Linked DNA regions of Macaca mulatta. The protein of the gene in region 2 interacts with the protein of the main gene of each other region in a pairwise test. Links are inferred from orthologs where the notes say so. Each region holds a gene or a part of one and is shown on either strand. Other genes may lie near its edges.

Region 1 (4,427 bases), on a different chromosome or scaffold from region 2:
TCTGGAGGTAATGTTTGAAAAATTGCAGAACTGCCAGGCATGCTGGCTCATGCCTGTAATCTCAGCACTCTGGGAGCTGGAGGCAGGCGGATCTCTTAAGGCCAGGAATTCGAGAACAGCCTGGGCAACAAAGCAAGACGTCGTCTCTACAAAAAAAAAAAAAAAAAAAAAAAAAAAAAAAAAAAATTAGCTGGGTGCAGTGGCTTGCGCCTGTAGTCTAAACAACTCAGGAGGCTGAGGTGGGAGGATTGATTGAGGCCAGGGGTTCGAGGTTGCAGTGAGCCATGATCACATCATGCATCCCAGCCTGGGTGACAGAGCAAGACCTCATCTCAAAACAAAAAAAAATTTTTTTTTGCAAGACCCATCAGTCGGAAATAGATTGAAATTCTTGGAGACAGGCCCAGTCACCTTACTCTCCAAATGGTGCAGAGGCTGCTAATTTGCATGTTACCGGAACCCTACTTGGTCTGAAAGTATGCTGTAGGATACCTGCCAAAGAAATATAGAGGCCCGGCTGGGCGCGGGTGGCTCACGCCTGTAATCCTGGCACTTTGGGAGGCCGAGGCGGGCGGATCATGAGGTCAGGAGATCCAGACCATCCCAGCTAACACAGTGAAACCCCATTTTTACTAAAAATACAAAAAATTAGCCGGGCGTGGCGGCGTGTGCCTGTAGTCCCATCTACTCAGGAGGCTGAGGCAGGAGAATGGCGTGAACTCAGGAGGCGGAGCTTGCAGTGAGCCGAGACCGAGCCACTGCACTCCAGCCTGGGGGACAGAGCGAGACTGTCTCAGAAAAAAAAAAGAAATATAGAGGCCCATTCCTCCAGGGATCATTATTTGGTATTTTGGTTTAGATGAAGAAAACAAGCGATACGATCCACAGACATGCGGGATTTGCCGGGTTTGCCCAGAAGTTAGAGAGGGGACTGTTATCTCAGTATTTCAATTTTATTTTTTAAATAGAGGAGGGGGTCTCCCTATGTTGCCCAAGCTGGTCTCGAACTCCTGGGCTCAAGAGATCCAAAGTTCTGGGATTTACGGCGCCAGGCTTTTTTTTTTTTTTTTTTTTTTTTTTTTTTTTTTTTGGCTGTTCCATAGACAAGAACACGGATACTCCATCGTCAGAATACCCGTTATCTCAATTTTGCCCAAGGAAAACCGAATTTAGAAAGGTGCCTAGAGGGCCCACCCCTCTGTCCTGGCCAATAGCTGACGACGCAACCGGAAGCTCAGCAATGACCGAGGCGCTCAGATATCGCGATGTGAAGTGTTAAAAACTGCCAACAATCGATTGGCTAACTAGGTCGATGACGCCAAACGCAAGACGCCGGGCCTACCGCGGGAGCCTGAGGGAAGCCGTGCATTCAGTTCCAAGGCGTCTGTGAGTCCGCGGAGTATACGCCATGAGCAAAGCTCACCCTCCCGAGTTGAAAAAGTAAGTATGTGTGAGAGCCAAACCGAAGTGGTCGCTTCTTTGCGTCCCCCGAGTCCCTTGGTGTTTCAAGCCGAATGGCTTGAGCCGCTTCACCTTATTTCTTCTTCCGGTCCGAGGTCGCCGGCATCCCGGCCAGGCTCCGGCTCATGAGACGTGAAGCCCGCGCAGAGCTCGCGCATTGGCGTGGTTACCGCCGGCAGCCACCGCACCTCCTTCTGGCCGACTAGTCTCTCTGTCCCGCGCTCCGGCCCCTAGTCACCCGGCGCTGTCCCTCGTTCCTTGAAGATCTCCAATGCCAGCTTTTGTTGAACATCTCTAATAGCATCATATTCTAGATAGACGGCTAGAGGGGGAAATTCTCTAAAGGAACTAAGGAGGGGATGGAAGGGAAGTGTTTTTAAAACTACGTGAGGCATCGGAATCCAAAAGCCACTTTAGCCTTAGAGAATGTGTTTGTAGGTGTTTCTTTGAGCTTTTACTTAGAAACCTCATTCTTTTTTGTTGCCTATTTTTACATTAAGCTTGAATGTCATGTGTTATCTTGCTCTGATATTGAAACTATGTAAGAACATTCATTTCTAAAATTAATGTTCTAAAAAATAAAATTTTTTTTAGAACATTAATTTTTTTCTAATCAGAGAAGGCTAATTTTTTTAAGTTTCTTTTACACACCCAGTAAAGACAAACAACTTTAAGGAGGAGAGCCTTAATTTATGTAGGACTCAACGTAAAACTTTAAACTCCTCAAATACTTTTTGACTGGACTTAACAGGTTATGTGTTTCCTCAGTACGTCTCTGTTTTGCTTGTACTCCCTGATGCTGGAATTCTACATGTATTTATTGGATTGCACAGAGGATGCAAAATTTTTACAGGAATCAATTTTTTCTGGTGTAGCATGTGGTTGGCTTTGTGTATAGTTCATTTATTACCAGGCCCCTGGAAGTCAGACATAAGGAAAAGTTCCTATTTAATAATTTTGCGGCCAGTGGCGGTGACTCACGCCTGTAATCCCAGCACTTTGGGAGGCCAAGGTGGGTGGATCACCTGAGGTCAGGAGTTCGAGACCAGCCTGGCCAACATGGTGAAACCCCCCGTCTCTACTAAAAATACAAAAAATTAGCCAGGAATGGTGGCACGCGCCTGTAGTCTCAGCTACTCGGGAGGCTGAGGCAGGAGAATCGCTTGAACCCGGGAAGTGGAGGCTGCAGTGAGTCAAGATCTAGCAATTGCCCTCCAGCCTGGGCAACAAGAGCGAAACTCTGTTTCAAATAATAATAATATTGCATTTAAAGGTATATTTGTATCAAAGCCATCTTTTGTATGAAAACTACTTTCATGTATATTTTAGTTAGGTCTGTTAAGGAATTAATTATTAAAACATAGCCCAACGTTAGAAAAATAGAAGTTAGAAATTATTGTGAAAATTACTCTTTTTATCTGAAAGTTATTTTATTGGTGAGTTGGTGATGTAAGTATCCTCTGGATTCATCAGGGACTGGTGAAATGGTGATTTTTCTTTTTTTAAACAAAAGCACCATTCTCTACTTGTAATCTAAGATTTTATTTGTGATTCATAACATAGTTTTTGAAAATTTCAGAGAAGGAAGCTAGTTTTAATACCTTTCTCTTCTCATCCATAGGTTTCATGAATTGTGAAATCCCGTGAGATCTGCCGTCAAAATGACTTTCAAATTTTTTCTTTCTTTGCTTTCTCACTGATAGCATCTTCTTTTACACCATTATGCCCTCCTTCTGGCTTAGCGTAACTCAGGGGTTCTTAAATGGGGGGTAAGGAATCTGGTGACACCAGGGATGCTGCTAAACATCCTACCGTTATTCGGCTGCCCCCAACAATACAAAATTACCTGGTCCCAAGTGTCATTAGTGCAGAAGTTGAGATACACTGGCTTAACCGAATTCTTCCTTCCACTTCTTAAAATTTGCTGCCACAGTGGTCTTGCCAGTGACAGCTTTAATAATTTATCACAGTATGCAAAACTGAATCTATACTTAAGCCAGCATTCAAACGCCAAACCTTACAGCTGCTAATACTCACGTGTTCTCTTCTCCAGTCAGACTGAACTATTTGTGTTTGCTCTCACTTGCTGTGTGACTTCGAAAAATTGATTTACCTTTTCCAAGCCTAGTTCTCCATCTGTAAAAACGGTAGAAATGACAGACCATAATTGCATGCAAAGTCATTGTAAAGATTGTATAAGATCTTGTGTTATATTTGATATGTTTTATGTATCTTATTAAAATAGTTTTGTTCATCATACTTCATAAATGTGTGTATATATTATATATAATATGTAATATATATTACATATATAATTTTACATATAATATTACATATATATTACTTTTTTTTATATATATACATATATATATATATATATTTTTTTTTTTTTTTTTTTTTTTTTTTTGAGATGGAGTTTCACTCTTAATTCCCAGGCTGGAGTGCAATGGTGCAATCTCGGCTTACCGCAACCCGTGCCTCCCGGGTTCAAGCAATTCTCCTGCCTCAGCCTCCCGAGTAGCTGGGACTACAGGCATGCACCACCACACCCGGCTAATTTTTTTTTTTTTTTTTTTTTTTTTTTTTTTTTTTTTTTTTAGTAGAGACGGGGTTTCTCCATGTTCATGTTCATCAGGCTGGTCTTGAACTCCCGACCTCAAGTGATCCACCTGTCTCAGCCTCCCAAAGGGCTGGGATTATAGGCATGAGCCACTGCACATGGCCCATAAATATATTTTCACTTGTAAATGTATCTACTCCCTCCTTCAGTCATGCTCCTTGTTTTATATTTACATTCTCCCATGATAATCCTATACATTAAAATTGACTAAGTTCCCCACTTCATGGCCCATATACTAAACTTTTTTTTTCCATTTTTTTATATTTTAAAATTTGAATGAAATTTCATGTTTTCTGGCCTATAAATGGAAGAGGTTAAAAACTGGTTTGACTGATGGCTTAGTATT
Region 2 (4,319 bases):
TCCAGATAACAGGTGCCTGTGATACAAACCAAGGATGTTAGACGGGCATACATACTGAAGCAGTGTCTGCTATCCATTCATTCATCAGATGTTTATTATGTGCCGGATATTGAAGTAAGTACTGAGAAGGCTGTGGGGAACAAAACGGAGCCCTGCCTTCATGGCTCTTACCATTTAGGCAACAACAGCAATAATAAACAAGCAATAATTTAATTTTGAAAGGAAACCAGGCCTGGAGGGTGACTTGGGACCCAGGAACCCAGGCATGACACAGAGATGGGAGGGAAAGGTTCTCAGGAGTCCCAGCCTGGGAGGGTGTTAGTTCCTCTGTGAGAGCTCCGCTGCACCCAGCCTGGGGTGTGGGGAGGCCTCTGTGGGCACCTGAATCTTCACTCTAGACGCTAAGGTTATTCCAGGGTTGCTTTGTTGTCTCTTGTTTCCACTAACAGCACAGTAGAGCCTCCTGCCTCCCTCCCTCCCCCACCCCTTCCAGACCGAGGCTATTTATTCCTAGTGACAAGCCTGAGGATCCCAGGGGGGGTGGCCTCAAGGACCTGGAGGGGCCTCGTGTCCCTAGCAGGCGCCAGTCCTCCCTCACGGACACAGGGAGGAAGCCAGAGGTTTAGACACTGCAGAGGTCCCCTCCCCTCTCCTCCACCACCCCTGCAGTGCCCCATCCTCTCACACTCCTCACACCCCACCCTAGAAGCCCAAAGATCATGGGGCCAAGGATTAGGGTCTCTCCTGGGCCTCAAAGGTCAAAACTATTCCTGGGCACTGCGGAAACCCAGGCAAGACAGGACTTCTCAGCGTCAGGAGGCCACTGGAGGTGGGGAGGTGGTTACCCCTGTTTTTGCTACTCAAAGTTGTGGAGTAAAACCCTTTGGAGGTCAAGGCCCTGTGGTGGGGAGGGGTCCTCTCTTCGCCCCATGTTTTCAGAGAACACATTGGTGCCCGCTGACAGGCTCATGACAGTAGAGTCAAAACCTCCTCCTCCAGGCTGGATTAAGGCCAGGTTGAGTGTCACCCCTAAGGGTAAGGTGAGGGGGTGGGGAAATCCGAGGAGGCCACAGGACTCTTCCCCAGTGGACCATGGTCTGTGGGGTCTGATGTCCCCGGCCTGAGATAGAATACAACAGTCTCCCTCTGGCAGCTGGGGACGGGGGGGGGGGGGGGGGGGGGGGGTGGGAGGGGAGGAGAGCAGAGGCTGCGGGGAGGGGACAGGGGCGGGGTCCCGGCCGCCTGAAGGTTGGGAGAGCCAGGTTAGGCCGGGCAGGAGGAGGGGGCCGGGCCCGCTGGCGGCCGAAAGGGAGGTGGGGGCGGGGTCTGGCCCCCGCAGCGGGCTGGGGGGCCGGGGGCGGGGTCCGGGCGGGGCGGGCCCGCGCTCACTTCCTCGGGGAGGGGTTGGGGCCGCGCTCCCACTCGCCCACACGGTCCGTCTGCAGTCGGCAGCCTAGCCGGCAGCTCGCTCGGCCCCCGCTTGGCCCGGCCCGCAGGTAGGAGCCGCCGAGGGACGCGGCGCCCGGTTCCCCGCCCCGCCCGCGCCGCGCGCTCCCCGCTCCCGCCGCCCGCTTCGAGGTGAGCGCCCCGCCGACCCCGGCTCCCAGCCCCGGCAGTCCGCCCCCGCGCCCAGGCCGGGGAGCGAAAGGACCCGCGGAGGGCTGAGGCCAGCCGCGGCCCCGGCCCCCTGTACCCGCCAGGCTCTGGCCACAGGTGCCCGGGGCACGCCGAGCCCGGGAGAGCGCCCGCCCGGACTAGACCCCTCCGGGCTGCCGGGCGGGGCGGGGCGGGGGCGGGGGTGGCAGCGAGAGTTGGGCGGGGGAGGGGGCTAAGTTTGAAATAGAAAAGCCGGATAGAGACAGACCGACCAGAAGCGCTGGAGAAACTGAGGTTCTCGCAGAGCCCAGTGGAGCGAGAGACCAAGACAGGCAGGGACTCGAGGCACAGGAGGAGGCTACCGAGACCATTGAAACAAGGACACACCGGGCGTACAGTGTTACCGGTGGACAGACCCGAGACATGGGGGCCGTCCCAGGCTTTCTGGAGCATTTTCAGAAAACATACGTGGGACCCCAGCGAACACATTCCCTGGGGCCCTTCCCCAGGCCTTGGAGGTGCCCTGAGGCTTGGGCGTCATTGGCCTCAGGCTGAATCTGCTCTCTGAGGCCTGCAGAGACACTCAGAGACTAGAGACAGAGACACTCAGGCATGCAGAGGTGGCGAAAGAGACTTGGATATAGAGACAGAGAAAGGGATGTGGTGGGGATTGAGACATTCAGCCATGTAGACAAGAAGAGACCAAGACTTGAGATCCACAGAGGCATGGGCCGCCGGGGGACAGCCAGTCAAGGTACAGAGTCGTCCAAAAGCTAAAGACAGAAGCTGTGTCCAGACACAGAGATGCTGAGTGAAGCAGAGACAGACACCGGAGACTGAGACTTAGTGGGGGCAGAGAGACCTAGGTGGGCTGACAGCTTCCAGGACAGCCCCTGACTTACCCAGACCTGAACCATTGGGAAGTGAGGCTCTGGGGAAACAGAAACTCTGAGCCCACCAATCCCCCATGGGGCAGAGGCCCTGAGACAGTAAGTTCGAGATCAAGAAGAACCCCGTGGACACACACAGCCACCAAGACAGCCCCAACTTATTTTTAAACTCAAATCTTGGACAGGCTGCCTCTGCCCTGGGGGACCCAGGGTGAATGAACTGTTCCTCTCCTGTCCCCAGAGCAGCTGCGGGATCCTGCTCCCCAGCCCCCTTCCCTAGACTTCTCTGACTTCCAGGTCCCATGGGGGAGAGCAGAGCTTGGGGTTGGTGCCCGGTAGCAGAGGGTGAGGGTTGAGGGAGTTGAATTTCTCCCCTTAAGTCTCCTGTCAGCTTCTAGAAGGTGGGGGAGGGGTCTGTTCTGATCCTGACTCACAGCTGTGGGACCTGGCCGGGGTCCTCCTGGATAGTGGGCATGTTGGGGGTGGGGGACAGAAGAGTTGAATGGTTGGCATGGGGCATTGGAAAGGCTTCTGGGTGCCTTCCAATCACAGGGCTGGCAGCTGGGGAGAAGAGCCAGGCTCTAGTGCATCTCCTGTCCCCCTGCCCTTAAAAGCTGATCATCCCCTTCATCACCAGGGCAGTATTTTTAGGGAGACAGAAGAGCTCTGGCCTGGGAGGCAGGGGACCTGGGTCCTGATAACTGAGTGACCTCGGGCATAAGCCTGCTCTATTCCTGCCTCCTTGTGCTCATCTGTAAAATGGGGATGATACTCTGTCCTGCCTGCCTTTTGTGAGATCTGATGAGATGGTGGTGGGCATGGACTTTGTGAGTGGCAAAGCAGCATGCAGGTGTCTACACCTGTGGACCTGTGTGGGAGATCTCAAGAGTTATGCTTACTAGAGTCAGGCTGACTGGGCTGGAGCAACCACTGCCCCCACTGGTGTCCTCAGCAAGCCCCATGGGCCTGGGGCCTCCTATTCTCTCCCTGGGCCTAGGCTGAGAATGTCCAGGTCAAATTTCAGACAAGGCTGGGCACAGTGGTTCACGCCTGTAATCCCAGCACTTTAGAAGGCTGAGGCCAGAGGATCACCAGGAGTTCAAGACCAGCCTGGACAACATAGTGAGAACCCCATCTCTACAAAAAACAGAAAAACCTAGCTGGGCATGGTGGCATGTGGCTGTAGTCCCAACTACTCAGGAGGCTGAGGCAGGTGGCTTGCTTGAGCCCAGAGTAGGTTTTTTTTGTTTTGTTTTGTTTTTTTGAGATAGAGTTTTGCTGTTGTAACCCAGGATGGAGTGTAATGACATGATCTTAGCTTACTGCAGCCTTCACTTTCTTGGTTCAAGCAATTCTCCTGCCTCAGCCTCCTGAGTAGCTGGGATTACAGGCGCCTGCCACCATGCCCAGTTAATTTTTGTATTTTTAGCAGAGGTGGGTTTTCGCCATGTTGGCCAGGCTGGTCTTGAACTCCTGACCTCAGGTGATCCACCTGCCTTAGCCTCCCAAAGTGCTGGGATTATAGGCATTAGCCACCTCACCTGGCTGAGCCCAGAAGTTTAAGGCTGCCGTAAGCCATGATCGTGCCACTGCACTGCAGCCTTGGCAACAGAGTGAGACCCCAACTCATAACAAAAAAACAAAAACAAAAAGGCCTAGCCGACACCAGCCTGGCCAACATGGTGAAACTCCGTCTCTACTAAAAATACAAAAATGTTTAAGCCGGGTGTGGTGGTGCCCTCCTGTAATCCCAGCTACTCGGGAGGCTGAGGCAGGAGAATCGCTTCAACCCGGGAGGTGGAAATTGCAGTGAGCTGAGATGGACTTACTGCA
Region 3 (3,825 bases), on a different chromosome or scaffold from region 2:
CTTTTTCTTGGTTCACGTCACATGTGCACAGAGACTGGGAAATGTACCACAGAAAGAGAGGGGAGATCCAGTGTTCTTAAAAAGAAAAGCTAGTTAGTTTGAGCAATTCTGGGAAGACTAAAATATAGACTTTTCTTTTATGTGAATTTAAAAGCTATAAGATTATGTGTGATTGGGGACATGCAGTTATGTTGTGGTTAATGACAGGTTTCAGTGAATGTTCTCAACATAAAAACATAATGAGGAAACACATAAATTCTGATTAAATTCACTCCTGAGCCACAGTAACTATGTTTAGGTAGGTTATAAAAAAGTCAAACTTTAAAATTTTTCTTCTCTTAAGAAGTAGATATTGCCTCCCCCCACCCCCCCGTAGTCATTTGCCTTAGTTATAGCTGATCAATAAATTAAACCATAGAGGAATACTTAGAAAGGAACTTACATTTTCTACTGGAAAAGATGATTGGCTTTTGTCTTCGGGAAACCAATTTCAGAATGGTCTGTGAACTGGTGAATTTGGTTGTGGGCTTTTGTCTGCTCTTTTCCAGTAGAAGCCGTGGGAGATGGGCAGTAAATGTGCTTTAGTTTTCAAGAGGCTGGCAGCCTTTGAAGGGAGGTTTTTGTGGCATCCCTGAGAGGAAGCTGGTCCTCTTGGTCAGAGTAACTGAAGAAGAGCCTGCCATCGACTCTGGGTGCAGGGTCCCCGAGAGTGGCAGGCTTACAGCTGGAAAGCATTCCTAGGTGCTTTGAGGTTGGGTGGGCTCAGTGCAGCAGCTCAGGCACCCATAGGCACCCAGCTTTGTTCCTCATTGCTTGCCCTTGGTACCTCCTGATACTCCCTGGAAATGAATAGGGTGCAGGCTTAGGTAGCCATCACGGAACACAGGCTTTTATAAGGGTTTAGGAATGTGTGGTCTCAGGCTGCCTTGAAATCTGTCCATCCCTTCTGGGAGTGAGGAGAGCTCAACTTCCCTTGGGAGCACTCCCTTTAGAATGTACACTCTCTGACCAAGAGTCCCTTTCCACTCAGCTGGTTTTCAGATGGAGTTTTCTGGGCATTTCCATTTGTCTTTGTAGCCTAAGGACTTACCCTCTTAGTTCCCTGTTACAATTGGTTTAGTGCTGAATAGACACCAGGGTGTAGTACTTGTTCATTGAGAACAGTAGATAATAGGAGCTGACCCTTGGCTTCTTGTTCAGTCCATTCCCTCCATAAGCCCCGATATACACAGTCAGCTTCCAGACACTTCAGGCTAACAGCAGGGCCCCTACAAAGGAAGTCCAGGCTGAATGTCCTATAACTGCTGCTAAGATATATTTTTAAATCTACCCAGAGGGTGTTAGGGGAGTTCAACTGAAGCATCTCCCATTTCCTCCTTAGAGCCCTAGAGAGACTAATTCTCCTGCTTCCTAACTTCCTCCTCCCATCCCACCAAGCATTTTCAGGACCCGGTTCGGGTTTACTGACAATCATGTGTATAATTCACGCAAGACAGGTTACAGTGGAGCGTGTTACCTTTGCTAGTCAAGCATGGCTCAGTAATGCTGCTCCAGATTTTGGCCGGGAAGTGGGTTTTATTGGTGTTTGGGCCTAATGTTTTCCTGTCCGGAAACCTTCCCCTTCCCTTGACAGGGCTGTTCTGGCAAGCACCATCAGGGAAAATCTAACCTCCCTTTGTCCGGTTGAATAAATGGGTTCCAGGCAAAAACAGTTCGTTGTGTGAAGCAGACACCCTTCAGAGGGAAATGTTAGCATTGAGAGGTGGGAAGTTGCGAGTGCCCTGGAGGGCAACACAAGTCTGAGCTAAGCCCTGGCTCCTTAGGGCGGTTCCTGGTGGGCATTGCAGTGAGCATCTGGGCCTTTTTATCTGGGATACTTTGGAGAGGGACTGCTTCCTGTTTAGCGAAGACCATTATACTTTTTCGATCCTGTTGTTTTGGTACTCCCTGAAATAATGCGGGCGCTGACACCAGATAGCAGAGAAATGAAGGACTTAGGGTCTCCAATTATTTCGCTATTTTCCTCTTCTGGGTTTTCTGTAGGCTAAGCAGAAGAAGGAGATAAACATTAGCAGGAGAAGCTTTTGGGAACACAGAGAAGGTGGTGGAGGTACCTGAAAGGAAGTTAGCTCCACAATGAAGGGGTTGGGTGGAAGGAAGGTGGAGAGCGCAGGAGTAGAAGTAGTGACATTGTGGTTGGAGTGCAGGGTGCTCAGGTGGGGTGGGGATAGTGAGAGACAAGGGTGAGTAAGGCAGGAGCCAGGTCCAGAAAGGCTTATAAATTATTCTAGGAAGTTGAATTTTGCCTGGAAGAGTTTTAAACTGGGGAAAGCCATCTGATTTCTATTTAGAGAGTTTATTCTGGCCACATTATGGGGATTGAATAGAAGTGGTAGGGATGAAGGAGGAAGCTCAGGTGGCAGGCTGTTACCTGATCCAAGTGAGAAATGGTCAGGGTCTGGACCAAGGGGAAAGAAAAACCAATGGGGTGGAGGGGCATTGGTGAATGATAGGCTCTGGGGCCGTGAGGAAAGGAGGTCAAAGATGTGTACAGGTGTCTGAGTTGGGTGAGACATAATTGATGGTACCCTTCCCGAAGGTGGGAAATAGAGGAGAAACAGTTCAGGGGAGCGGGGAAGGCAGGTAGAGTAGAACATGACTTCTCAGCAAATGTTTATAGAGTTGGGTTGAGCAGAAAACATAAGCCTTATTGCAAGCCAAGGACCCCAACAGCATGCACTTGCTTCCTTACAGGAGAGATTTTGGGCCTCACAAAGTGGCACCAGTGAAGGCCCACCAGTATGACCAGTTCGTCCCAAGTGAAGAGAATATGGATTTGCTCACGACGTATAAGAAAGATTACAATCCCTACACTGTCTGTCGAGTGGACCCCATCAAACCTCGGGACAGTAAATATCCATATAGCAACAAGATGGAGTATTTGCCTACTTATAAAGGTGGGAGAGCACAGAGGGGCAGATTGGGGGAAGGACAGGCTGAGCCTGTGTGCGGGCCAGGAAACGTGTTTAATGTGCAAAGTCACTTAGTGCAAGAGTTGGCAGGCTACTTCCTACGGACCAGATCTGGCCAGCAGCCTGTTTTTGTATAGCTGGAGAGCTAAGAAAGGTTAAACATTTTTTTTTTTAATAATTGAAAAACAAATCAAAAGGCTATCATTTGAGGACTGTGAAAATGATATAAAATTCAAAATTCAGTGTTCATGTTTTATTAGAACACAGCCATATTCATTCACTTACACAGTATCAATGGCTACTTTTTGCACTATAGTAGCAAAGTTGAGTAGTTGTTGACAGAGACACCACATTCTGTGAGACATAAGACACTTAATACCTGGCTCTTATACAGAATATTTGCCAACCCCTGCCTTAGCTTGCAGTTTGAATCCTATATTGGGGGAAGCATTTCAAGTTCAAGCTAAGTTAGTTTCTACCACTGATTAAGTGATTGATTCATTCACGTGTTTAAAAAATATATCATTCACGTGTTTAAAAAATATATCAAAATGTAACATGCATATGGAAAAGTATACAATTTATAATTATACAGATCAATAAATTTGCACTGAACAAATCCATGTAAACAGTACCCAGATCAAGAAATATAACATTACTACCCCATTTCTGTCACCCTCCCCAACGAGAATGTAACCGTTATTTTAACCTTTAATACCTTACCTTAAATTAGTTTTGCCAGTTTTGAACTTTATATAAACAGGATTGCTTCTTTCTTTATTGAGTATCTATTGATATTACCTACGAGGTGTGGTCCTAGAAACTGAAGGAAGCATAATGGCCTGCCCTCGAC
Region 4 (4,403 bases), on a different chromosome or scaffold from region 2:
TGAGCTCAGTATTATTTTAGCGCTGGTGAACTCATGCCGGCCCAAATCCCTTATTTGCACGTGCAAAAATTAAGCCTCAAGAGGAAAACTGACTTCCTAACGCTCTACTTCTAATATGTCATTGTCTTGGATAAGCAGCTTAGTGGCAAATGTTGGCAGATTTTGGGTATTGGCAGGGCCTGGGGGCATGTGCCTGCTGGACTCGAGTCTGCAGAAAACTGGAGGAGTCTGTTCGAACCATGAGGCATTAGACGCTGTGCCTTATCAACGCGTGTTTGAGATGGCAGGTTGTGTTAACAACATTCAACACAGACGGAAGCCATTCGTCTATCTCAATTCAGCCGGAAATAGCAAGACCCTCAGCTACAGTAGGCTGACTAAGTGGGGCTGAGGGCAAGGTAGGTAACAGGATCCAGGCTTGAGCTCAAGCCCCGGTTCAGTCTTTAAAGAGGGATGAGCACGTAAGGGCTTAAACTAACAGAACTAGAAACTAACAGAATGGTGTCGCAGGCAGGTGTAAGTTACCCCGCCCCTCTACGCCCTCCGTCGAGGAGACTCGCCAAATGCGTTTTCTCAGCCTACGGGCAGGGCAATTTCTTGCTCTCTACAGGCAATTACTCCCAGCCCTGTAAGCAGGGAGTGATGACCTCGCCTTTTCGTTCTGGAGTGAGGGCCGGACACGCTTGGACCTCACCTCTCCGCGCCACTCTGCGGCGGGGCCGCGGGAGGCCGGCTCGCGCCCACGCGCACCCCACGCTCGCCTTCTCTAAGATGGCGGCAGAGGCTGCTCGCTCACGCCCCGCCGCCCGCGCTCCTCCAAGTCGTGCCCTCAGCAGGCGGGAGTGGGTCAGAGCGCGGAAAGCAGAAGGGCGAGAGTGACGCGGATCCTCCAGTCCAGCGCAGGCCGCGGAGCCCTGAAGCGTCCAGGAAAGCGAAAAGCCAGCAGGCTAACGCGACCAGGAACACCGCCAGCACCTCAGAAACGAAAAAAACGGCGGCACATCCGGGCCCCTCTGCCCGCCCCGCCCCGGAAGTAACGTATCGGGCAGGGGCGGGGGTTGCTCTTCAAAGTGGATTCTTCCTTAGCCATAGCTCGTCTTTCCACAAAGTGCCTGGAATCACCCTCGCCACCCCCTCCCTCGGGTTAGCCGTTACTCTCTCGTGGCTCCGGGACGTCTCTGCACAAAGCTGGCTGCCGGGAAAGGCAGCCCTCGTTTCACAGATAGTAATCCTCGCACCGCGACTCTAAATTCTCCTGGGCTTCGCCAGCGCGTGTAGTAACGTCCCTCTGAGAGGACTCTTGGTGACCTCAGCCCCAACCAAGCATAGGCGCACCTCTTCGGAGTCCTGTGTTGGAATCCCGGCCTCGTGCCCCGTCACCCCGCCACCCCGCCCGGCTTCGGGGGCCGTCAGTCACAGCGCTGCTCCCTCCCCTTCCGGCGGCTTGGCCGGGCCCGCCTCCTCCCCTCTTCCCTCCCCCACCCCTCCCCGTGCGAGTGTCTCCCTCTCCCTCTCGCTCTCTCTCTCCCTCTCTCTCTCTCTTTTGTGAGTTATAGCAACCGTTGCCTTGTGAATCAAGCGCCATAGTCACCGTAGTCCTGGCGACTGTTACCCATCAACAACAACTACTCCTCTCCTCCTCCTCCTCCTCTTCCTCCTCCTCCTCCCCACCACCACCATCTCCATCACCCACCAACAACACCACAATAATCCACAGCCAAGGTGAATATTCTTCGGTCTCTACATGTGTGTGGGAGCGTGTGGCTGCGTGTGAACGCGTGTGTCCGTGCGTGTGTGTGTTCGTGTGTGCGAGCCGAGTGTGGCTGTGCAGGGGTCTCACTCCTGACACGGGGGCTGCCGCTGCGGCGCCGCCGCCGAGGGGCTCTGTTCCCCGGGCTTGTTTACAATGGACCCTGCGCGCCGCGGCTGGGTCGGGGGTGTGGGCGCCGCGCTGCCCGCCGGCCCCGGCCCTGCGCCGGCCGCACTTCAGGGATGGAGCGGGAGATTGGGGGGCTGCGAGCCGAGCGGGAGAGGGAGCCACAGTTTTCCGATGCGGATGCCGGATCTTTCCCTTAGGTCTGGTATGAGGAGAAGGGTCAGGTGAAGAGATAAGAATTTGTTCTTTCTTTAATTTTCTTCTTTTCTAACGCTGCTTGTTTCCTGCTTCTTTCAAAGCCGAAATAGACAACAGTGTGCAGGGGGGGACCCAAGAGGTGGTGTTTTGTTGTTGTTGTTGTTCACTTGTGGGGCCTTGTTATGGGTTTTGTTATTTTTATCCTCGTACGTTGGTGAACTTTTCCCACCGCCTGTTCCCTTCATTTTTGCCCCTCTTTGCTTGGTGCTGAATGGGCTGCTCTTCTTTCACCATCATGAGCTTCACGGTTTTCCTTTTTCTTTTTAAAACTGTGTTTTCTTTGTGCGGCAAACAGTCTTAATATCCATTCAGCACTCTTCCCTCCCCCTCTTTCTACTCCCCCACCCCCCCACACCCCTTGCACACACACGGAAACCTGGGGCCTCTTCGTTGGGCTCTCTTTGCTGTACTGGGAAAGAGATTTTTCTTTTTTAAAGTCTGTCTCCTCTCTCTTCTTTGGGGGGTGTGTGTGTGTGTGTGCTTGTGATTTAAACCGGATGCACGGCATCTGTGATACTTGGGTTAGTAGTTATTGACAGTGCTTTATCCTTCATGTGGAGGTGGGAGGGGTAGTAGTGAGGTTCCGTTTCACTTTGATGATCCTCTTTCTCCGCAGTAGAGTGTTAACAATTTTCATTGTGGTTATGAGACTTTGTGATGAACAGGGAAGGGACACAAGGAGGCTTTGTGAGAACTCAGTTCACAATGTTATTTGTGACAGTTATGGTACTTTAAGAGTTTTTTTTTTTTAATCTACTCTGTTCATTTTCCTTTGAGAGTTGAAATTGAAGTCAAGTTCATAAAGAATGTATGAAGCTTCTCAACTTGAAACGTGTGTATATTTCACTTTCTTTGTGGTTAAGATCTAGGCATGTTTGTACTTAACATATTCTTTTTATTTACTTTTTGATTTTCTTTGGACAGTGACTTGAACCTGCTCAGGAGAGAGAACTTTTTCCTTTTTAAGTATTTCTTTTAAAAATTATATTTCTCTGTAGATTTGAATACTTATTAGTCCTTATGTAGTAGGTTCTTGGTTAGCGTTAACCCAGTTTTACAGATCCCCTAAATTTGTTCATTTTTTTCAGCTTAACTTTTAGTTAATAGATTTATCAATAAAGAGTTTTGAAAATGAATGTGTGCTAAAACAAATACAACGTACTATTATAGTTGCACATATTGAAGTTTTTAATTTACAGTTTTAAAATGCTTATTCAAATAGTCTTCTAACAGCAAACATATATTGATTTAACTGACAGCAGCTTGTGAATAATGTGACAGTACTAATTATTCTTGAGATTGTCAATGAGCAGGGTAGGTAATTATAATGCTATTAAGGCTAATATTTTGTAAACTAAGAGTTGGGATTTTAAAAAACTTTTTCAATTCATTTCCTTGCGATTGCTATTTTAAATGAAGACGATATTTTGTTCTGAAAGAAGTCTTTCTCAGAGTACTCAGAATTCTTTATAATTATTCCTCCCCTCCCCAAACTGGGTTCCATGCAAATCTCTAATACTAACTTGTACTTTTTTTTGTTCAGATTGAGTGTCAAATGCCTGAACACTTTTGGATGATGAAGCTCCTGGGTCCTATAAACTCTCTGAAGTTAATAGGAGTTTTGCTGTCTTGGGACAGTTTCAGACCTTATGCCATTTACATAATAGGTTTTCAGTTAAGTAAATTATATGCTGGAATGTTACAATTTAATATTTGCAGTGTCTGAGAACTTTTTTGAGGCATTTCACTCATGTATAGCTCGTTTTCTGTGATTTAGATTTTCATTCACAAGTTGATTTGAGAGCAGAACTTAAATTGAATTTCATTACTTTTCCATTTTTTGAAGCATATATGTGGAATAAAATCGCTATTAGAGCTGCTGTGGAATTGCTTAAATAATCAGAAACACTAAGAAATGGTAAATTTAAAAATTAAACCCAAGAGTAGATACTTAGCTTTTACTTTATTCTTTCTTAATATTTTTCCTAGAAGGGACTATATTACATATTGATACTTTCTTGTGTTTTTAGTTTTTATACTAATAGAAATTTGTAAAAGTGATCATGCTTTGAAACTAAAACTATTTTAGCAGAAGTCACTTGTAACTTGTTTTGAATAGTTAAATATCTGTGATTCAATGTATGCCATAATGCCTCAGTGTTTTTGGTTTGTTTTGCCTGTGAATTATATAAAATGGTGTAGGCATCATACGTATACACATATTTGGCAAACTAATGAATTTCTAGAAATTTTGCATCGTTTCACAATG
Region 5 (4,425 bases), about 37 Mb from region 2:
TTGTGCACGTGTGTAGATGGGTCTGTGTGCATGTGTGTGTAGGTGTGTGTGCATCTGTGCGTGTGTGTAGACATGTCTGTGTCTGTGTGTAGGTGTGTCTGTGTCTGTGCATGTCTGTGTGTGTAGACATGTCTGTGTGTCTGTGTGTAGGTGTGTGTGTGTCTGCGTAGACGTGTCTGTGTCTGTGCGTGTGTGTAGATGTGTCTGTGCATGTGTGTGTAGACGTGTGTGTGTGTGTAGGTGTGTGTAGACGTGTCTGTGTGTGTACACCTGTGTCTGTGTGTAGGTGTGTGTGTCTGTGTAGACGTGTGTGTAGACATGTCTGTGCGTGTGTGTGTGCGTGTGTAGACCTGTCATTCTCGTTCACACCTGGGAGTCCCTCTGATGATGCTGTCGGGACTGGGCAGCCCCTTTGGTTGTGAGTCAGAACTTTAGAGGATCCCCTTCCCCAGCAGGACTCCTGGGTGCTGAGAACCCATGAGAAGGAGCTGAGGTCTCCATTGAAGGCAGAGTATCGTACGCACGTGCCTGTTCCATGTCAGCGCAGGGTCCAGCCTCCTCCAATAGTCCTCCTGTTCTGAGTGGGGAGGGGTCTCAGGGCTCCCAACTTCTTCCATTCGTGCCCAGCCCACCCTAGGAAGAGGGCGTGAGGCTCTCCCGGCCACAGGTGCGGGGCCCAGCCTGTGTTCTGCTCCTCCCCCAGGACGGGCCCCAGTGGCCCCACCCAGCTGGGTCATCGTGCGAACGGCTGCCTCGGTTTACCCGCCTTCCCCTGCCCGTGGGCTTCCTCGTTGTCTCCTTCCCTCCTGTCACTCAGGTGGGGCAGGGAGGGGCAGACACAAAGGCCTCGTGCAGCCGAAAGCGATGCCGCCATCTCTGCAGGTCAGGTCAGCCGCAGGGGCTGCCTTTGGAGAGCTCTGCCCCCAGCCTGGAGCCTCAGGCCTGCTCCAGCCTTCTCTAGCCTCAGAGCCTCCACTGCCGTGTGCTCCCCTGTCTCCTGGGCGAGTTCCTTCAAACCCTTGAAAGTCCTCACCTAAGCCACACGCGGTGGCTCACACCTGTAGTCCCAGCACTTTTGGAGGCCGAGGTGGGTGGATCATCTGAGGTCAGAAGTTTGAGACCAGCCTGACCAACATGGAGAAACCTGTCTCTACTAAAAATACAAAAAATTAGCCGGGCGTGGTGGCGGCGCCTGTAGTCCCAGCAACCCGGGAGGCTGAGGCAGGAGAATCGCTTGAACCCGGGAGGAAGAGGTTGCAGTGAGCCGAGATCGCGCCATTGCACTCCAGCCTGGGAGACAGAGCGAGACTCCGCCTCAAACAAAAAAAAAGGCCTCAGCTCCCAAGCAGCCCCAAGATGGCTTTGTTTGCTGGAGACGGCGGTAGCAGGATCTGTCAAGGAACTGGCTGAAAATTCCTGAGATGTTCTTGAGTCACAACACAGGAAGGTGCTGGGGACAGTGTCCTGGGGGTCGGGCCTGGCGCCCGGGGGCGGCCGCAGAGGAACCCGGATGGCAGGTACCAGGTGGCTGCACACAGCCCACAACTGGCCTCTGGGATCAGCAGCGGAGACAGAGGAGACCCCTGCTCGGGCCAGGGAGTCCCCCCACCCTCCACTCTTCAGGCAGGTGCCTCACCCGGCAGGCCTGACGCTGTCCTTCTTTCCAGCTGGCACCCAGGCCGAGCTCGCCCACGCCCGAGGAGCAGCTCCGGCAGGGGAGGACTCGCCCGGCAGAGACAGGGTGCAGAGACAGCCTCGGCCCCCCACGGCGCCAAGCCCCACGGCTGCCACGGAGGCAGGAGCCAGCCACCTACAGAGGCTCAAGTCCACGGCCCTGGGAGGCGCCCTTTCCTGGGCAGGGTGGGCCTGACTGCTTGCTCCATCCAAGTGCTGGGGCCTCGGGCTGCCCGAAGTTCCCACAGGAGGGTCAAAGCAGCATCTTCCCTGCAGGGCCCTCGGCCTGGCGCCCCCCGGCCAATGGCCCACAGCTGCACCCGGTTCGTCCATCGCCGGGGACCGCCCACTCGGACCCAAGCCGGCTCCAAGAGGGGCAAGAGACCAAGGATCCAGCGGCGGCCTCGGGCTCGAGTCCCAGGTGAATAGAGCAGCCCTGAGTGGCCTCCTTCCTCTCCAAAGCCAAGGCCTCCCTGGGACGGACTTCCATCCCCAAGGAAGTCAGTCGGTCTCATGGGGCAGGGGCAGGACCCACACACGGCCACGCCCTGCTGCTCCGAGAAAAGGCCCAGCTGTGGGCGCCAGGCTCTACAGGCACAGAGGGGAGGTGCGCGCTCCGCGGCCCAGGGTTCTGCCTGGCTGGCACCACCCCCATGGGCAGCCGCTGGGCAGCATTGCCTGTTCCCAGAAGGGCAGCCCCTCATCTCCCCTGCCTGACAATGGCCCCTTGGGTCACCCGTGACATCATCATGGACATTGTGACCCCTGCCCTCCTGGGACCATCCCTGTGTCACGTCTGCACCCAGCACTGGCCTCACAGCCTAGCCCCTGTCCTGCACCAGGCCACTGCCCTGTTGGTGAGGAGGGTGGGGGTCGACCTCCCTGCCCCCTGCTCCGAGCTCCCCACCCTGGCAGGAAGGCTGGCCCTGGAGGGTGGTCGCAGCCCCTCCCCAGGTGTAAGCAGTCCCCAGGCCGCCTGGTTGGGTCGGAGCTCGGGCTGAACTTGAGCCCCAAATGGGCCAGGGGGGTTGTCCAGGGTCTTGGAGAAATGGGCTGGGAGCGAACTGACTGAGCCATGTCTGGGCTGAGTGGACAGCTCCCGTAGCCACCCGGGTGGGACCCCACCCCGTTCACAGGCCCAGCCCATGAGAGGCCAATGGGGAGCAGCCAGGAGGAGGGACTCCCGTGTCAGCCAAGCCAGCCAGACCACGACACAGGTGGGCACGGCGGGCTGGACCTGGAGGGGGCAGGAAGAGTCTCCACCACGCCCGGACCCCCTGGGCTCCTGACCAGCCACCCGCCTGCAGACTCGGATGACACTGATGCCACTGGGCCCCCAGCTGCCCTCCTGGAGGGGCTCCTGCTGGGGGACGGGAAGCCATCGCCCCACAGCACGAGGCCGGGACCTTTCTTCTACATCGGAGGCAACAACGGGGCTGCGATGTGAGTAGGGGCCCTGGGCGGTCCTGTCCCGCTGCATGCCCACCGCCTGCTCCCAGGGCACAGCCCGGCCTCCGCTGGCCGCCCGCCGGCCTCACCCGGGCCCCCAGGTCACCCCCACCCCGGCCCCCCTGCAGCATCAGCTCCTACTGCAAAAGCAAGGGCTGGCGGCGCATCCAGGACAGCCGCCGGGAGGACTATGTGCTGAAGTGGTGTGAGGTGAAGAGCCGAGACAGCTACGGCAGCTTCCGGGAAGGTAGCGGGAGCCGGCGCCACGGGGGGCAGCCTGCAGAGGGGCCTCCTGGGCCGGAGCACAGGGCAGACTGGAGGAGTGGGGACCGAGGTCCTGCACGCCCTCCACACGTGCCCTGGCCTCTGACCTCCAGGAGAGCAGCTGCTGTACCAGCTTCCCAACAACAAGCTCCTCACCACCAAGATCGGGCTGCTCAGCACCCTTCGGGGGCGGGCATGGGCCATGAGCAAGGCCAGCAAGGCGCCGGGGGGGACCCAGGCCAGGTGAGTCTGCCCCTGCTCCTGCGCCTGCCCCTGCCCCGTCCTTGCCCTGCCCCTGCCCCCACCCGTGCACCTGCCCCTGGTCCTGCCTCCGCCCTTGCCCCTACCCCCGCCCCTGCCCCTGCCCGTCCCTGCCCCTGACCTGTCCCCGCCCCCGCCCCCGCCCCTGCCCCATCCCTGCCCCATCCCTGCCCCTGTCCCTGCCCCTGCCCCTGCCCCTGCCCCGTCCTTGCCCTGCCCCTGCCCCCACCCGTGCACCTGCCCCTGGTCCTGCCTCCGCCCCTGCCCGTCCCTGCCCTTGCTTCTGCACCTGCCCTTGCCCCTACCCCCGCCCCTGCCCCTGCCCTGTCCCTGCCCCTGACCTGTCCCCGCCCCCGCCCCCGCCCCTGCCCCATCCCTGCCCCATCCCTGCCCCATCCCTGCCCCTGTCCCTGCCCCGCCCCCACCCCTGCCCCATCCCTGTCCCTGACCCTGACCCTGCCCCATCCCTGCCCCATCCCTGCCCTTGCCCCTGCCCCGCCCCCACCCCTGCCCCATCCCTGTCCCTGACCCTGCCCCTGCACCCACCCCTGCACCCGCCCTTGCCCCTGCCCCTGCCCCTGCCTACCGGGGTTCCCAGGCTGGCCCTAGCCCCCACCCGTCAGCACCCTGAATCCACCTTCCACCTGTCATTTAGAGGGCCAAACGCCCATCCCATAAACCCAGCCTCTTCCCCTCGGCTAAACAGGGAAGATCCCACACGTCCCCAGCCCACTGGGCCTGACACCACCCACCCGTCCATCTCACAGACCCACCCAG
Region 6 (3,825 bases), on a different chromosome or scaffold from region 2:
CCCCGTGGAGCTGGCCTGCAGGCCGGCGTCGGTGTGAGTGGTTCCACTCTGGTGGCTCAGCACATGAGAGGTGACCTTGAGTCCCTCCAGCTGCCCTTGCTCTGTCCCCCTGCTGCCATCTTTGGCTGCCATCTAGACCCCCCAGACGTTCTTCTTGGGATTCAGTCACACAACCACTGTTCCGGGGGATCTTCCAGGGCCTGCTTTCTTCTGTTCGTGGTAGAGTCATCCCAGTGTGGCAGGAAATGGAGAGTTGTGTGCCTTGTTCTCGAGAAGTCTGAAAGCAAAGGAGTGAGTCCCTTTCTGCAGGAAACCTGTGACAGGGGCTGGCTTCCTGGGAGAAGGGAGTCGAGATGAGGCCTCTCTACGCTGAGGTGGCTGTTTAGATCCTGGGATTTGGTGCTGGAATCCGAGGCATTAACCAAAACCACAAGTCGCGCGTGGCCTTCCTGGCCTGGCCTGACAGGTTTGTACTCTGGCGGGGCAGCCGTGGCCCACGTAGAGACGGCACCCAGCACAAGCACCGAGGGTTAGAAGGTGTCTAGAAATGCGGTTCAGAGGGCTGAGTGGCCATCTCCAGGGGCCCTAGCCTTTCCTCCTAGAAAGCGGGGAGATGACTCGTGTGGCCATTTCCAGCTTTTTGTCCAGGGGAATGCAAGCATCCTGGAGAACTGTGCTTTTTTAAATCAAGCTCACGGGATGTAAAGTATGATCCACACAACGTGAACTTGACTTTTTGATTTCTCAAGAGAGTCTTGAAGCAGGTCCCCCTCACAGGCAGGTCCAGGCCAGTTTCCCTCAGTGTTTCCGTTAGTGACAAAGGAGGGCCTGGCTGGATGAATTGCTCCCATCCCCTGTGCTGGCCCTGTGCAGCGCAGGCCGGCAGCCCCCTCCACCTGGGGCTGTGGTACCTAAAGGTGGAGTCTGAGTTGAGATGTGCTGTGAGCATAAAACACACCAGATTCAGAGAGTGCAAAATAGACGAAATGTCTGTGTTTATTTTTTGGATTGATGACATGTTGAAATGCTGTTTTGACTATATTGGGTTACTTACAATATAAAACTTAATTTTGTGTGTTTGTTTTGACTTTTCTAACGCAGCCGTTCAGATTTTAAATTACTTAGGTGGCTTGCGTTCTGGTTTTTTCAGACGGGTCTAAAGTAGTGTGGATGAAAAGCACTTACCTGACACAGTAAATTCCTGAAGCCTCCCCAGCATTCCCCAACACTGTGAGACTTGGGCTTTTTTCCAAGTTTACATTCCCTCACTAAGCAGACAAACCAAACAGGAAGCTAACCTGAGAAAGAAAGACAGGGTAAGGCGGAAGATCAGCCTGGTGCTCCTCCTCCTGCACAGCTTGACTCCTGAGTGGTCAGCTGCCACGCGTCTCATCCCCTGGTTCACAGACCCTAATGGGCAGCTCTAAGAATTAGGAAAACGGAAAGATACACAGACACACACACGCACACACATACACACAGTCTATCTATCTTTCTATCTCTTTTTCGTTTCTATCATAAGGACAAGAAGGAGTTCACATTTACATAGGATGGACAGCATATATATTTACTGTAAAAAAAAAAAAAAAAAAAAAGAATTAGGAAAACCTCCCGAGGAGAGTCAGGCTGGGTGGCCTCACTCAGCCGCCCCGTGTGGACTGCCGCAGGAGAGCCTGCGTTTCCGGAGTCATGCCCTTGTTAGCCTGCATATGCAGGCTGGCTGCTGTGTGAGGCGCATGTGTTCTCGACTGGATGCTTGTCTGAACTGCATCCATGGCATGGAGGCGCACAGACCTGGAGCTGGATCCCAGCTCGGCCACCTCTGCCTGGGGGGCCTGTGCAGATGAGCAAGCATGAGCCCAGGGCTTCATTTTCAACCCGTGTGAAAATAAGGCCAGTCCTCATAGTCATGCTGGGCGTCTTAAGTAAAAACCTAGAAAAGAGTCTGGCTGTGCCTGACCCGCTGTAGGAACATGAACATTAGCCACGTCCTTTTGGTGGGCCCCGAGGGAGATGAATCAAAGTGCGGGGGCCCAGCAAGCTGTTCCATGAGTGTCCTCCGCCCGCAGGGAAGTCCCACCTGGCCATCGTGCAGAAGGTGAACAACGAGGGTGAGGGCGACCCCTTCTACGAGGTCCTGGGCCTGGTCACCCTGGAGGACGTGATCGAGGAGATCATCAGGTCCGAGATCCTGGACGAGTCTGAAGACTACCGTGAGTCCAGACTCTTGGCAGTTACGTCTCCGCTGGGCCCGCGCACTTCCCCAGGTGTATGTTGCGTCCGAGGTCAGTGGGCCTCTGTGCTGCTGAAACCCAGCAAGATCCACAGCCAGGCCCCTTCTCAGCCCTGCCTGGGCGCTGGCAGGGAGCCGCCTTGCAGGAGGGCTCGCCTGGGGCTCCGTTAGCAGCAGTCCTGTTAGATTCCTCCATTACTGAGAGAGCTCTGCCCTTCATGGGCCTTTCCCAGCCTTCTGTCTCCCGAGGTGCTTTTGTTTTTGCAGGTTCTTTTGTACATTACAGAAATGTCCTCTGAAAGAACCCATTCTTTGCCATGAAGAAAGTCTTCCCGGCTGGACGCAGTGGCTCACGCCTGTAATCCCAGCTCTTTGGGAGGCCGAGGCGGGCAGATCACGAGGTTGGGAGTTCAAGACCAGCCTGGCCAATATGGTGAAACTCTGTCTCTACTAAAAATACAAACATTAGCTGGGCGTGGTGGCGTATGCCTGTAGTCCCAGATACTCAGGAGGCTGAGGCAGAAGAATCGCTTGAACCCAGGAGGCAGAGGTTGCAGTGAGTCGAGATCATGCCACTGTACTCCAGGCTGAGACACTGGGAGGGGGTGGAAATAAGTCTTCCCAAAGCAGCTGATCCCGGGCCCTTGATTTCGTGGTAAAAGTGTCTGCCTGTTAGGTTGGTGGCTGAGGTCTGCAGAGCTGCACAGAGCCTGCGCTTCATGGCCGGGCCCCCTGTCCCGCATGCTTCCAGAAATACTGCTTTACTCGTGTCAGTTTTCAAACATAGCATTTCTGGTTCCATTCCTGAGACTGCCACAGGCCTGGGGTCTCCAGGTTAATTGCGGCCCTTTTGCACTGGTCATCCTTGAATACATGCTTTCTAGTGAGAAGTTTCTCAGTGGCCAGAGAGGCCTGTTACTATTTTTTAATTTTTAATTTTTTTTTTTTTTTGAGATGGTCTTGCTCTGTCATCTAGGCTGGAGTGCAGTGGTGCAGTCATGGCTCACTGCAGCCTCAACTTCCCAGGCTCGAGCTTTCCTCCCACCGCAGCCTCCTGAGCAGTTGGGACTGCAGGCGCGTGCCACCACACCTGTCTAATTATTTTATTTTTTGTAAAGACACGGTCTCCCTGTTGCCAGGCTGGTGGTGAACTTCTGGCCTTAAGTGATCCTCCCGCCTCGGCCTCCTGAAGTGCTGGGGTTACAGGTGTGAATCACTACATCTGGCCTAAATTAAAATAAAATTGAGTCCACGTCCAGTGACCTATCAGGGATGCCTGTTGTTTTATAAGAGCTGCTTTGTTATCATATCAGCGTTCTCTTCAGCCAGCTCCAAGGCAGGGAGCCACCCCTCGCTCTGTGTGGTTGGGGTGGGAGCAGGCCCCGTGGAGGGAGTGGTGCTGAAGACATGTCCCTGGGGCTCTGATGCTGCTCCGTCGAGGACCCCCTGGCCTCAGTAGGAAGGAGCAGGCGATGCAGTCCCTTGGTGTGGTGGTGTTGACTGACAGGTGGCTGATGCCTGAGCGCGCCCTCTTCTTCCATCTTAGGAGACACTGTGGTGAGGAGGAAGCCTGCTTCTCTGATGGCCCCTCT
Region 7 (4,535 bases), on a different chromosome or scaffold from region 2:
TTCATTATGCTGGCCAGGCTAGTCTTGAACTCCTGAACTCAAGTAATCTGCCCGCCTTGGCCTCCCAAAGTGCTGAGATTACAGGCATGAACCACCACAGCTGGTCAAAAACTGTTCTTTTAAAAAATTGAGACATAGGCTGGGCATGGTAGCTCATGCCTATAATCCCAGCACTTTGGGAGGCCAAAGCAGAAGGATCACTTGAGTCCAGGAGTTCAAGAACAGCCTGGGCAACATAGTGAGAACTCGTCTCTACAAAAAAATACAAACATTAGCTGGGTATGGTAGCTCACACCTGTAGTCCCAGATACTGAGGAGGCTGAGGTGGGAGGATCGCTTGCGCCTGGGAGGTCAAGGCTGCAATGAGCTGTGATTGTACCACTGCACTCCAGCCTGGGTGACAGAGTGAGACCCTGCTTTAAAGAAAAATAAAAATAAAAATAAAAATAGAGATATAATTTGCACAGCACAATATCCTTTTAAAAGTGTACATTCAGTAGTTTTTTAGTATATTCACAATGTTGTGCAACCATCATCACTATTTTCATCACCTCAAAAAGAATTCCTGCAGCCATTAAGCAGTCACTATCCATTCCCTCCCTCTCCCCAGCTCCTGGCAACCATACATCTGTCTCTATGCATTTGCCTATTCTGGATATTTCATATAAATAGAATCATACAATATGTGGCCTTTTGTGCCTTTTTTCACTCAGCATGTTTTCAAGGTTTATCTGTGATGTAGCCTGTATCAGTACTTAATTACTTTTCATGACTTAATAATATTCCATTGTACGGATATGCTACATTTTGTTTATCCATTCATCACTTGGACATTTAATTTGTTTCCATTTTTTTGGCTATTATGAATAATGCTGCTATGAACACTGATGTACTACTTTTTGTGGGGGTATGTTTTCAAATCCCTTTCGTGTATATACTTAGGAGTAAAACTGCTGGGTCATATGCAAAGCTAATCATTCCTGGAACATTTACTAACACTGTAGGTATGACCCAGGAGGAGACATGTAACCTGCCTAGGCCTCAGTTTCTTCCTTAGTAAAACAGGGATGATAACAGCACCCATTTTATAAGGTGGTGAAAATTAAATAAAATAATGCATCTACCGCGCTTAGTACAGCATCTAGCACACAGCTGGCTGAATAAAGTAAGTTGAATGACTAGGGAGGGGGCCTCATCTCTGACCCTTTCGCTGGGCCTCCGTTGACATCTGCAAATGAGGGGAGTGAGACAAGCGGGCCCCTGTCCGACAAGCTCTGCGCCTCTCAGGCTGGCGGTCCGCTGCAGAGGCTCCTGGACGCCCTAGCCACCAAGACTCTGCAGATAGGTGCTCAGGAGGGAAGTCCCGCCTAATCCGCTGGCCTGCAGCGGGGTACACTCACCTGCAACTTCTCCCGCCACTCTTTCAACTGCCACGCAGGGCCCGGAAGTAGATCTCCTGATAGCGGAAGTAGAACCTTTTCGAGACCGGAAGTGAGTGAACGCAAACATGGCGTCTGTGGTGCTGGCGCTGAGGACCCGAACAGCTGGTAATGGGACGCAGTAGTCAGAGCGGGGCGAGGCGGGGAGGCAGAGTGGAGCTCCAGCAGGGAGGGAAGGAGGTGATACTGATCCCCGCGGAGGACCCTGGATGCGAGGGGAAGTGTGTGGGCCACTCCATTTTTGAGGGACGCTGTCGCTGGTCACGTGACACATCCTGGGTAGAACCATGAGTGGGGGAGTTGGAGGAGCACTTGGCCTTCCCCTGCCTCAGGAGCACGGACGGCTTCCTTGGCGGTTGGGGGTTTGGGTGGATCCTTTCTCTGTATGAGTATTAGTAACAATGGCACATTGGTGATGAAAAAATTAATCTATTCATTCAACAAATTGAGGTCTGTCTTTGTGGTAGACACGGCGGCAGGTGTTCAGAAAATCAGCAGAAAACGTGAAGACATGGCTTCTAGCCCCCGAACGGTTTTCTCTGGTGCATAAGCCAATAAATGAACACATAAAGTAGTTGCAAACTGGCAAGTGCTGTGAAGAAAGAAAATGAGTGTGTGTGTGTGTGTGTTTGTGTGTGTGTTTTCTTAGATTGAACGGTGAAGGAAGTCTTCTGAGGAGATAACATTTAAGAACTAAAGAATGACAGGAGGCGGGGTATGATGGCTCATGCCTGTAGTCCCAACACTGGGAGGCCGAGGCGGGCGGATCGCTTGAGCCCAGGAGTTCAAGACCAGCTGGGCCACATGGCAAAACCCCATCTCTACAAAAAATACAAAAATTAGCCCAGTGTGGTGGCGCTTGCCTGTGGTCTCAGATACCCAGGAGGCTGAGGTGGGAGGATCACCTGAGCTCAGGAGGTCGAGCCTGCAGTGAGCCATGTACATACCACTGCACTCCAGCCTGGGTGACAGAATGGGGCCCTATCCTCACCCCACCCCCCCCAAAAAAAAAAAAAGAATGACAGGAGACCTAGCCCTGTGTAGAGTGAGGGACAGGAGAGTGACTTGAGCCAGTTCTACATTTTGAGAAGCAAACTATTCCTGTAATGTAAATTTAAAGGGGATAGGAGTGGAAATGAGGAAATCAGATGGAAAGCCATAATATCCCTGAGCTGAGATGATTTAGCCAAGACGTTTGTGGTGGCAGTGAACTTGGAGGAAAATGGATGAATTTGAGATCTGTTCTGGAGTTAGCATCCACAGAGCTTGCTGGGGAACTGAATATGTGAGGTCAGCAAAGAGAAGGAATCCGCAGTGACTGTGGTTTCTGCCTAAGCAACTGGCTGAATGGTAGCACCATTTACTTTGAGGAGGAAGATGGGGAGTAGGGTGAAGAGCAAATATTTGTGAATGAGATAATGTAAGTAAAGTAAAAGCCCAGCTCCTGAGCTTAGTAAGTATGTAAATGAATGAATAGATGTTTAAAGGTAGGTAGATCTTGGTGCTGGGCATTTAACATGTTGTCTTTCTGAGTCCTTATCTCTGGTCCTTTGCCGCAGTTAGTCTATGTTGTCATGGAAATGTCAGAAACCCAGGCTTCAGACACTCTGAACTTACAGGCTCCAGAGACCCACAAAGCTTCTCTAAAGACACTGGCATGGGCCTTAAATCATGGCTGTGTCTGGAGACCTGCAGGCAAGGAGTTGCACCCCTAAGCTTGTCATACAGCAAGGGACTACCATCTTAGTATGAATTTTAGTTTGTTTTACTTTTTCAAATGAATGCTATTGAGCACTTTGGAATGAGTATGGAGGGGTCATATTAACAAGGGCAGTCTGTGGGTCATGGTTGGACCTCTGCTTGATGTGCTTTGAGAAGAAAGGGCCCAGCCTTCTGAAATGGCCAGGACCCTGTGGGAGCCACCTTCAGACCAGCTACCCTTTTAGTTTACTAGTATTTGGTGAGCAGTGGATGAGTGAATAGCTGAGAAGGTCACGGGTGAGGCCTGTAATCCCAACAATTTGGGATCACCTGAGGTCAGGAGTTCCAGACCAGCCTGGCTAACATGGTGAAACCCCGTTTCTACTAAAAATACAAAAAATTAGCCGGGCGTGGTGGCACACACCTGTAATCCCAGCTACTTGGGAGGCTGAGGCAGGAGAATCGCTTGAACCCGGGAGGCGGAGGTTGCAGTGAGCCAAGACTGCGCCCATTGCACTCCAGCTTGGGCAACAAGAGTGAAACTCCGTCTTAAAAAAAAAGAAAAAGTCGTGAGTGAGCCTGAAACAGAAGCCTCTCTGGATGTGCTGGGCTTCCCAAGTCTGTTCTGGCCCCTCCATGGTGCATGAGGGTGAGTGAGCCTCTGAAGCAGGCAGCTTTGTGGTGTCCATTTCTCCTCAGCACATTTAGACTAAATGTGTCAGGACCCAGAACACATGATGTTTATTTTTTTCCATTTATGTTTCACTGCTCCCCCGCCCCCTCCCCCAAAAGAAGAAAGCCAAGGACCTTCAGGTATTCCCTGAGAACTAATACACTCAGTGGCACTTCTGCTCCCCTGACACATCTTTCTCATCTCCCCACCACCTCTCACCTCTCAGCATGTGCCCCATTGAGGCAGAAATAGTTTGAGCCTGTCTGTCTGAACAATGTTTCTGTTTTCTTTGCAGTTACATCCTTGCTGAGCTCCACTCCTGCTACAGCTCTTGCTGTCAGATATGCATCCAAGAAGACGGGTGGTAGCTCCAGAAACCTTGGTGGAAAGTCATCAGGCAAACGCCTAGGCATTAAGAAAATGGAAGGTGAGGATGTGCCTTGGCTTCCCCTTCCCAGCTGCACCCTGTCCTGGTGTTCCTTAGGAGAGCAGAAGAACCCTGCATGTTCCTGGCCCTATTCTTCCTCACCATCATAATTGGCTCCAGATTAAAGGAACAGATAAGACCTGAGGAAGGGTCATAGGGTGGGTGGGTGTGAGCCATAACCATGCAATTAGAGATAAGAGCTGCTGGGTGGCAGATCCTGCAGTGCTTGTGTTGGACTGTCTGGGAGTTGTTTTTGGCCAGGGGCAGGCTTGGAAGTTGGTATGCAGCATTTAGG

Evidence for each region.
Region 1: the proteins of FHL3 (region 2) and SNRPG interact in binary tests that used the Homo sapiens proteins (3 or more experiments, as listed by UniProt). The two-hybrid records come from large-scale screens. The link is inferred for Macaca mulatta from reciprocal best matches to the Homo sapiens genes FHL3 and SNRPG.
Region 3: the proteins of FHL3 (region 2) and SAXO1 interact in binary tests that used the Homo sapiens proteins (3 or more experiments, as listed by UniProt). The two-hybrid records come from large-scale screens. The link is inferred for Macaca mulatta from reciprocal best matches to the Homo sapiens genes FHL3 and SAXO1.
Region 4: the proteins of FHL3 (region 2) and RFX3 interact in binary tests that used the Homo sapiens proteins (3 or more experiments, as listed by UniProt). The two-hybrid records come from large-scale screens. The link is inferred for Macaca mulatta from reciprocal best matches to the Homo sapiens genes FHL3 and RFX3.
Region 5: the proteins of FHL3 (region 2) and TTLL10 interact in binary tests that used the Homo sapiens proteins (3 or more experiments, as listed by UniProt). The two-hybrid records come from large-scale screens. The link is inferred for Macaca mulatta from reciprocal best matches to the Homo sapiens genes FHL3 and TTLL10.
Region 6: the proteins of FHL3 (region 2) and CNNM3 interact in binary tests that used the Homo sapiens proteins (3 or more experiments, as listed by UniProt). The two-hybrid records come from large-scale screens. The link is inferred for Macaca mulatta from reciprocal best matches to the Homo sapiens genes FHL3 and CNNM3.
Region 7: the proteins of FHL3 (region 2) and MRPL27 interact in binary tests that used the Homo sapiens proteins (3 or more experiments, as listed by UniProt). The two-hybrid records come from large-scale screens. The link is inferred for Macaca mulatta from reciprocal best matches to the Homo sapiens genes FHL3 and MRPL27.

The regions. Positions count from the first base shown.
Region 1 is NC_133418.1:54,435,903-54,440,329, forward strand, and holds the start of SNRPG (small nuclear ribonucleoprotein G), read left to right. Parts: upstream 1-1,320; 5' UTR 1,321-1,408; coding exon 1,409-1,440; intron 1,441-1,556; exon of another isoform or gene 1,557-1,887; coding exon of another isoform or gene 1,888-1,895; intron 1,896-3,082; exon of another isoform or gene 3,083-3,183; coding exon of another isoform or gene 3,184-3,230; intron 3,231-4,427. UniProt on the Homo sapiens protein: Plays a role in pre-mRNA splicing as a core component of the spliceosomal U1, U2, U4 and U5 small nuclear ribonucleoproteins (snRNPs), the building blocks of the spliceosome.
Region 2 is NC_133406.1:202,788,542-202,792,860, forward strand, and holds the start of FHL3 (four and a half LIM domains protein 3), read left to right. Parts: upstream 1-1,391; 5' UTR 1,392-1,578; intron 1,579-1,865; exon of another isoform or gene 1,866-2,208; coding exon of another isoform or gene 2,209-2,350; intron 2,351-4,319. UniProt on the Homo sapiens protein: Recruited by SOX15 to FOXK1 promoters where it acts as a transcriptional coactivator of FOXK1.
Region 3 is NC_133420.1:80,253,064-80,256,888, forward strand, and holds part of SAXO1 (stabilizer of axonemal microtubules 1), read left to right. Parts: intron 1-2,754; coding exon 2,755-2,957; intron 2,958-3,825. UniProt on the Homo sapiens protein: May play a role in the regulation of cilium length. Stabilizes microtubules at low temperature.
Region 4 is NC_133420.1:95,924,168-95,928,570, forward strand, and holds the start of RFX3 (transcription factor RFX3), read left to right. Parts: upstream 1-1,580; 5' UTR 1,581-1,722; intron 1,723-4,403. UniProt on the Homo sapiens protein: Transcription factor required for ciliogenesis and islet cell differentiation during endocrine pancreas development. Essential for the differentiation of nodal monocilia and left-right asymmetry specification during embryogenesis.
Region 5 is NC_133406.1:239,503,235-239,507,659, reverse strand, and holds the start of TTLL10 (inactive polyglycylase TTLL10), read left to right. Parts: upstream 1-1,448; 5' UTR 1,449-1,977; coding exon 1,978-2,099; intron 2,100-2,449; exon of another isoform or gene 2,450-2,454; coding exon 2,455-2,531; exon of another isoform or gene 2,532-2,630; intron 2,631-2,810; coding exon 2,811-3,117; intron 3,118-3,251; coding exon 3,252-3,370; intron 3,371-3,500; coding exon 3,501-3,630; intron 3,631-4,425. UniProt on the Homo sapiens protein: Inactive polyglycylase.
Region 6 is NC_133418.1:5,489,111-5,492,935, forward strand, and holds part of CNNM3 (metal transporter CNNM3), read left to right. Parts: intron 1-2,069; coding exon 2,070-2,285; intron 2,286-3,779; coding exon 3,780-3,825. UniProt on the Homo sapiens protein: Probable metal transporter.
Region 7 is NC_133421.1:59,626,974-59,631,508, forward strand, and holds the start of MRPL27 (large ribosomal subunit protein bL27m), read left to right. Parts: upstream 1-1,493; 5' UTR 1,494-1,507; coding exon 1,508-1,547; intron 1,548-4,108; coding exon 4,109-4,240; intron 4,241-4,535.